Linked DNA regions of Diceros bicornis minor. The protein of the gene in region 1 interacts with the protein of each later gene in a pairwise test. Links are inferred from orthologs where the notes say so. Each region holds a gene or a part of one and is shown in the gene's direction. Other genes may lie near its edges. The genes, in order: SUFU and RCN3.

Evidence for each region.
Region 2: the proteins of SUFU (region 1) and RCN3 interact in binary tests that used the Homo sapiens proteins (3 or more experiments, as listed by UniProt). The two-hybrid records come from large-scale screens. The link is inferred for Diceros bicornis minor from reciprocal best matches to the Homo sapiens genes SUFU and RCN3.

What each region holds. Positions count from the first base shown.
Region 1 is NC_080745.1:67,462,767-67,466,670, forward strand, and holds the start of SUFU (suppressor of fused homolog), read left to right. Parts: upstream 1-1,145; 5' UTR 1,146-1,289; coding exon 1,290-1,471; intron 1,472-3,904. UniProt on the Homo sapiens protein: Negative regulator in the hedgehog/smoothened signaling pathway. Down-regulates GLI1-mediated transactivation of target genes. Down-regulates GLI2-mediated transactivation of target genes. Part of a corepressor complex that acts on DNA-bound GLI1.
Region 2 is NC_080773.1:24,959,178-24,963,081, forward strand, and holds the start of RCN3 (reticulocalbin-3), read left to right. Parts: upstream 1-1,376; 5' UTR 1,377-1,458; intron 1,459-1,863; 5' UTR 1,864-1,869; coding exon 1,870-2,111; intron 2,112-3,904. Other genes in the region: FCGRT (IgG receptor FcRn large subunit p51), read left to right, coding at 18-134, 408-487. UniProt on the Homo sapiens protein: Probable molecular chaperone assisting protein biosynthesis and transport in the endoplasmic reticulum.

The sequences.
Region 1 (3,904 bases):
CTATCCCTTTCTCTTGGAATTTCCAGATCATTGAGTGGAAGACATTACTATATGAAAAGTTATTGTAAACAGGAAAGTAATTCCCAACTCAGTGCCTTCGAAATTAACTTTTTTTCCAGTTACAGAGAGCCAAGGTAATGGGGAAGGGCAGGCCACAGTAGATAATGATGTTCCTCAAAGTAATCTGCAGACATCTGCCTAAAACAGAAGAAAAAAGAGATTGTCATCTTCACTAAAAGCATTTTTTAAATAATTACCAAGTCTTTTTAATCGATCCTAGTTTACCTAACTCTTGTTACTTTCTGACAGAATTCCAAAATAGGTATTTCAAAATATGACCCCTGAATTTGGCGGTGTTAGTGTCAGTCGATATAGTCAATGGACATTCAAAGACGGTAGGTAACGTTCAGATTTGTTATCTATTAAAACTAATGCCAGGGGCTGGCCCCGTGGCTTAGCGGTTAAGTGTGCATGCTCCGCTACTGGCGGCCCCGGTTCGGATCCCGGGCGCGCAGGGACGCACCGCTTCTCCGGCCATGCTGAGGCGGCGTCCCACATACAGCAACTAGAAGGATGTGCAACTATGACATACAACTATCTACTGGGGCTTTGGGGGGGGGGGAAAGAGGAGGATTGGCAATAGATGTTAGCTCAGAGCTGGTATTCCTCAGCAAAAAGAGAAGGATTAGCATGGATGTTAGCTCAGGGCTGATCTTCCTCACAAAAAAAAATAATAATAATAAAATAAAACTAATGCCACACGGACGAATGAATCAATCTATTGTCAGATTTATATTTAAATCCTTGTTAGCAGCGTGTCAGCAAAACAGTGAGAAGCCTTTCGTCGGTGCACTTTCCACGGCTTTCGTGAGACCCTAGCACCTCAGAAGCATGCCGCAACATCTCTATTTAAGTCTAGGTTCCTCCTAACACTAGGGGGAGGCCAAGAGCCTTGGGACACCCCAAACGCAGGCAGAGGGAGGCGGGACCTATGGTCAAGTCACGCCTTCCCTACCTGTGACTGGCACAGACACTAGCCAATGGATGCTGGGATAGGGCGCGCCGGCGCCCCGCCCCCTTGAGCGCCCCGCGGCCGCCGAGGCACCCTCTGGCGGTCTCTGCGGCGGCGACTGCCAGGGCGGACGGTGCGCCGTGCGCAGGCGCGAAGCCTACACCTCGCTGCAGCCCCCGTCGCCTCGGGGAGTCGCACCCACGGAGTCCGCCGCTGGCGCGTCAGTGCTCTCGCCTCGTCCGCCTTCCCTGGCTTCCCCAGCGTCCTACACGCCCCGATGGCGGAGCTGCGGCCTAGTGGCGCCCCCGGCCCCACCGCGCCCCCGGCCCCTGGCCCTACTGCCCCCCCGGCCTTCGCCTCGCTCTTCCCCCCGGGACTGCACGCCATCTACGGAGAGTGCCGCCGCCTTTACCCTGACCAGCCAAACCCGCTCCAGGTTACCGCTATCGTCAAGTACTGGTATGCCCTGGGCCGCGGGGAGACGGACAGGGGCGGGCTGGGCAGGGTTAAAGCGCCGGGGGCGAAGTAATTTGCAAGGTTGGAGGAGGAGACAGAGAATGGTTAAAGCACTGGAAGGAGGGCTTCCTGCTGCGAGGGAAGGAGTTAAGGCTCAAATTGCGAATGGGGACAAAGGGGTTAACGGAGCCTGTGGGTAGCGAAGGGTTAACGAAGGAGGGAAGGCTGAAGGGTTAACTGAGATTAGGAGAATAAAGTGAATTGGGGGTGTGTGTAGGAGCTGAGAGGGGAACGGTAGGAGAGAGGGAACTGTAAACGTGGTGAAAGGAGGGGGCGCCTGTAGGGGGTCATTAGTGGGCGAGGGGAAGCCAAGGAGGGGCGGCCGAAGCGGGATGAGGGAGGCGAGGCGGGGCCTGGGGAGCATATGAGAGAGCTTTGGAGGAGCCGGGCTGGAGGAGCTCAAAGGGCACGAGACAGCATAGGGTTGGGGCCGGTCTGGGGACCCGGGCTCTCCTGTGGGTTAGGAGGGGAGCAAGCTGTGAGCGTCGTGCTTGTGAAGAGATGAGGAGGAGGTCTCGTTTTGATACTTCCCAGTGAGCTCAGACATCATATCAGTGCAATGCTTTTGCGTTTGAAGTTTCACCGGGCAACTTTTCCTGATAAACTTTCTGCTTACTCTGCACAGTTCTCTTTCTCCATGCAGAGCTTCCTCTGGCTCTGCAGCTGCTTTGCTTTAGGTCATTGGCTAGAACAGAGGCAGGCAGGGTCAGGGAGATCCATGATTTGGGTCAGGATTGAAGGAGACCTCGGTAAATGATGAAGACCTGGGAGTTAGACAAAGAGGAAAGAAGTGCAGTGTGATGTTAAGAGGAACTTCCTGGCCACGAACTTTAGGATTTAGGCAGCAGTGTCTCAGGGAAGCTGAGAGTAACCCTCAAGTAGCTCTGTTAAGGATTAGACCTGTTTACAGATGGGCTGCCCTTGGGGTAGGAATGGTCTTTTCTAGTTTCTCATTCCTGTTTGCAACCTGTCTCTTCCTGCAGCCTCTGGGCAAAACAGGTGTTGTGGGGACTCTGGAAAAGAGCCTGTCTTCATGGTCTTTCTGGACCAAAAGTTGACAAGAATTGGTTGAATCTGTCCAGAACCACATTCATGCAAGCATTGTATTAGATGGTCCCTTTGTTGAATCCTGGAAGACTTTTCAGGTATCTGCTTGGCCTGTGGCAGAGGGGGTAGGTAGACTCAAGGTAGAAGTGAATGAAGGGGATGTCTTTGCTGATTACCTTTCCCTTTAAGACTGAGTCTTTCTCCTACATGACAACCTCTTACTTCCTCCAGAGATGGCAGAAGCTAGGCTGGATAGGGCTGAGGCCAGCTCCCTGTGTCGATGGGAGGATGTGAAGAGGCTGACAGTGTGGAGGGCCTGAGGACCAGCCACCTGCTGCTTAGGGAGGGCCACGAGGAGCAGCCTGTCTCTGTCTGGTAGCCGGAGGAGGTGTGGCCAGTGGTACAGTTCTTTCTGGCAAGCACACTGTTCTTTGGTTGAGAGGAGTTTTTGAAGAGAGCTTCTGAGTGAAAAGCAGCTCTTGATAACTTAATCACCCATTCTAATTGCACCTCTATATTTAAATATGTATTGTGATGAACTCTGTTGGATTGTGTCATGAGAAAAGTGGGCCTGCCTCTGCCATACTGTTTTTTCAGGCCGCATTTGAGTGTAGGGAGAAATCCCTACACGGACTTGGGCAACTGTTTTTATGTCACCCAACTGGCCATGAAGGATAGAGTTGTGTGTAAAAGGTATTGAAGCATGTGCAAAGGACTAAGACTGGTTTGGGCAACTTTTTTTCTTCTTCTTGCTGCAAACTTGTTAATGGTCTAGACTCGGTGAATGATGAAGGCCAGAGATGGGCCAGCATGTAATGATGACTAAAAAGGATTGTGAAATTAGAAATGCTGCCTAGATGAAGAAAAACGTAAGAGGGGACAGCTCAGCAAATGATTCTTTCTAAGATTCAAAGGGGGTTGCGTAATTAAGATCCTGAAATTAATTCATTGATATCCCTCACATTTGGAGTCCCACAAGGCCTCTTCAGTTCTCATGGCAGGATGACAGACTGAGGCTGCCTGGGTCTGGCTGTGGGCCAGGTTACCTTGGGATTCCTTTTCTTGCAACAGAAGGGTGGCTCTTTGGCTAGTGGTCCTTGGCCAGCAGGGACATCCTGGCTGAAAGCGGAGACTTTAGTGAGCAGGGAGCAGAAGCAGAGAGGCAGAGCCTGTGCTCTGGGGCCACTCCAGTCCTGTACCTGCCCTGCAGAGTTAAGTGTTGTAGGAATTAAGTTGAGGGATGCTCTGGGTCCTTGAATAACATCTTTCTCTAAGTGCAAAATATGATTATTTTCTGTATACTCGTCTGCTTCCCGTCAGGTCTCTGAG
Region 2 (3,904 bases), on another chromosome or scaffold:
ACATTTTCTGGCCGCAGAATCACCAGCCAGATCCTCGCTGCAAGTAGTTGGAGTCGTCATCGGCATCTTGCTGCTCACGGCAGTGGCCGCAGGAGGAGCTCTGCTGTGGTGGAGGATGAGGAAGGGGCTGCCAGGTGTGGGGCAGGACGAGGGAAAGGACCCGGAAAGAGATGGGCACACAGTCCTGGGGGGGACAGAGATCTAGAGAGAGAGAGAGAGACTCAGGGAGAAGTGGGGACAGAGAACTGGAGGGAGAAACAGACTCAGAGGGGGATGGAAACCCACAGAGTAAAACAGAGAGTGAGGGTGAGAAAGACACACACCCAGGGAAACGGGGGGGAGGGGCAGTCAGAGACCCAGAGGAGCTCAGAGATTCTGATGACCTCCCTTCCTTCCTCTTTCCTCAGCCCCTTGGATCTCTCTCCGTGGGGACGATATAGGGGCCCTCCTGCCCACTCCTGGCCTGCCCAAGGATGCTGACTCTTAGAATATAAAATGCATTCCCAGCAACTTCGTGACCCCATCCCCCAGCCTGGCTGCTACCAGCTAATGTAGTCAGGTCCCTTTCATGCCGTGAGACCTCGTGATATCCTGGTATTTCTGAGCCTCCAGAAGGAGTCCTGAGCCCGATGCCCTTCCTCTGGATTCCTCCTCCTGTGGTCTGCCTCAGTTTCCCCTCCCATATGTATAGCTCTTTTCCACCTCCACGTATAACATGAATTTGGGCCCGAGGCATTGTGTTCTCATCATTTCAACTTTTTAGGCAGGGGAGGTAAGAGAATGGGTGGGGGGAATAAATGGTGTAAGCCCTGGGCTTCAGATCTCTCCTGCAGCTAACGTGTTGCGTGGTGGAATCTCCAGTTTTATATACCAAGTCATGTATTTTTCATTCATTAAATTTCACAAATGTTTACTGAATGCCTACACTGTGCCAGGCATTTTGAGGAATTGTTGGCTGGAGTCTGACCTGAATCCTTCTTGGTGGATCAGAAGAGAAGAGTTGTTCCCTCTTTGAGGGAAGGGGTGTTTCCTCTGGCCCCTGGGTTCCCCTCTTCCTGAAACCATCCCCACAAAGGGAAAGAGATAAAAATACAGCTCCCATGAGGCTTTGGACTTAGTACAACTAGAGGTGGTCGGGGAGGGCGCCCCGACGCCTGCCGGGAGTTGTAGTTCTCCCGGGCCGCGTCACTCCGGCGTCGCCCACCCCGCCTGCCCGGGGAAGGGGCAGGGCCGAACCTCGTGGGCCGCGCTTTCCTTTGTGGACGTGGCGAGGGGCGTCCGCGGCCGGCCCGGCGCTCTCTGGCCCCGCCCCGTGGGGGCCCTCCTGAGCGCTCATTGGTCGGAGGGCGGGGCCTCTGCGCTGCCGGGGGCGGGGCCTGGCTGGAGAGCCGCCAAGTTGGGCATCTTTTCGGAGAACGCAGAGGGAGCGTGGAGAGCCGCGTGAAGCCGGATAACGGGGTAAAAAGAGGCGGGGGCGGGTGTCCAGGGAGGGCTGTCCGGGTCCACGCGGGTCGAGGATTAGGGTCCAGGCTGGAAGCAACGCCCGGGAGCCTGCCTGGTTTCTCTCTAGCCGCGACCCCGCCCTGCACTTAGCGTGGGAAGTGCGCCACGTCTCCCGCTTGAATCCCCCGCTTGCGGCTCTGGGACCCCTCAGAAGAGTCAGTCCCCACAGCTGGTTTTACCTCTGAGAACCCCGCGCCCCTTTTCCCCCATCCCCGGCCCTTCTTGAGCCCCAAACTTTGCAGCCAGCTACCATCTCTCTGTCCTGTTCGGGGTCCCCCCCCTCCCCTGCTCCTCATCCTCCTGTCCCGTCCCTGTCCTTTTTCCTGTGACCCCTGACTCCTAGCCTCCGCCACTCCCCAGGGACTGATGATGTGGCGACCATCACTTCTGCTGCTGCTGTTGCTGCTCAGGCGCGGAGCCCAGGGGAAGCCGTCCCCTGACGCCGGACCTCACGGGCAGGGGAGGGTGCACCAGGCGGCCCCTCTGAGCGAGGCCCCTCATGATGACGCCCATGGGAACTTCCAGTACGACCATGAGGCTTTTCTGGGACGAGAAGTGGCCAAGGAATTTGACCAACTCAGCCCCGAGGAAAGCCGAACCCGTCTGGGGTAGGCGAGAGATGGGGGCCTGGGGGGGGGAATTCAGGGTTGTAATTTTAAACAAGGAGGTCACAGGAGGCCTCAGAGAGAAGGTAATATTTGAACCGTGTAGGTATATGGGGGAATAGCCTTCCAGGCAGAGGGAAATGTAAGTGCAAAGGCCCTGAGGCAGGAGTGGGCTGGATGTGTTTGAGGAACAGTGAGGCCCGTGTGGCTGGAACCCAGTGATGAAGGGAGCGGGTGGGAGGTGATGGCAGAGAAGGAACAAAGGTCGTGCAGGGCCATTGGGACCATAGTGAAGATTTAAGCTTTTCTCTGATGAGATGAGAGCCATGAGAGGGCTCTGAGCAGAGGGAGGACGTGAGCTGACTTAAGTTTTAACAGAATCCTTCTGGTTGCCAAGTGGGGAACAGACTATAGGGAGCAAGAAGCAGGGAGCCCAGTGAAGAAGCAACTTCAATTGTCCAGGTGGGACACAAGAGACGATGGCGGCGAGATCAGGGTGGAGACAGCGGTGGTCGACAGGTCAGCTGCTAGGAGATCGTGCGTGGATGGGGTTGGGTGAAGGAGGGGTGGGCGAGGGAGGGCAGTGACAGGCTAACACATTGGCATAGCGCTACAATGCCAGACACTGTTCTAAGTGCTTTCATTTAATCCCCACAACCACGCTGTGGGGTAGATCCTATCATTTGTCCCCATTTTACAGAGGGGGAAACTAAGGCACAGAGAGGTTGAGTGATTTGCCCATGGTCACACAGCCAGCAAGAGGAGGCTGCGGGACTTGAGCCTCGAATTCCTGGCTATGGAGCCCATACTCTTAACCACAGCTCGAACCGCAGGGTACAGTGTGAGTCCTGGGGACAGAGCCAGCCCCCGACCCATCAGAACAGAGACAGCCTGGCGCGGGAGGGGGCGGTGCCCTGGGCAGGGCCGTCTCGGATTCGATCCGGGGACCGGGTCTCGGGGGCTTAGGGACAGAGAGGAGGGCTCCATGTGGGCCCTGTTAGCGGTTGGGCGAGGACCCAGACCAGTGGCTGGGCGTGGCCAGGGGAGACGGGAGGGGCCTGGGAGCCGACAGGAGCGGCCCGAGGGAAGGGGCGTGAGGTGGGAGCTCGATTTGAGATGCGGAGGCGCCCAGGATTAGGCTGAAGCACGGGGAGTGGGGCGTGCAGGCCCAGCCCGCGGGGTTGCGCATGGTGGTCCTAGGGCAATGCCTGACGACGGCTGGGGGAAGGTGGGGAAAGGGGCGGGGCGCAGCATGGGGCGGGGCTGGAGGGAGAGGGGCCTGCAATTGACGCGCGCAGCCATGGAGGGGGCGGAGCAGGGGCCGGGGTTAGAGCGGAGGATCCGAAGACCAGCAGAAACAGGGGAGAGGGCCGGGCCTGAGACAGCGAGAGGTCGGGGGCGCCATGGCAGCCGGAGTTCAGAGGGAGTCTTGAGACAGGAGCCCTGAGGGCGAGGGGCGCAGTGTGGCGCCTAGCCCCCTGACCCCACTCCAACTCGGTCGAGCAAGAGGAGGAGCACGTGCAGGATCGAAGGGCGGGGCCAGAGTGGAGGGTGTGGCCCTGGATTGTCGTAGGTCCTTCCCCCAACCCGGGCGTGTCCTGGGCGGCAGCTACAGCCATAGGCCCCCTGTGTCTCGGAAAGGGCGGGAGCCTGGGTTGAGGGGGCGGAGCCTGGATTAGAGGGGCGGGGCCATGTGGTGGGCGTGGCCCCAGGATTGACAGGTGCCTCTCCCCGGTGTGCCGGCGGCCCGTGGACGGCATTTTCAGCCCTATATGGAGGTGTGTCTCGAGTGGGGG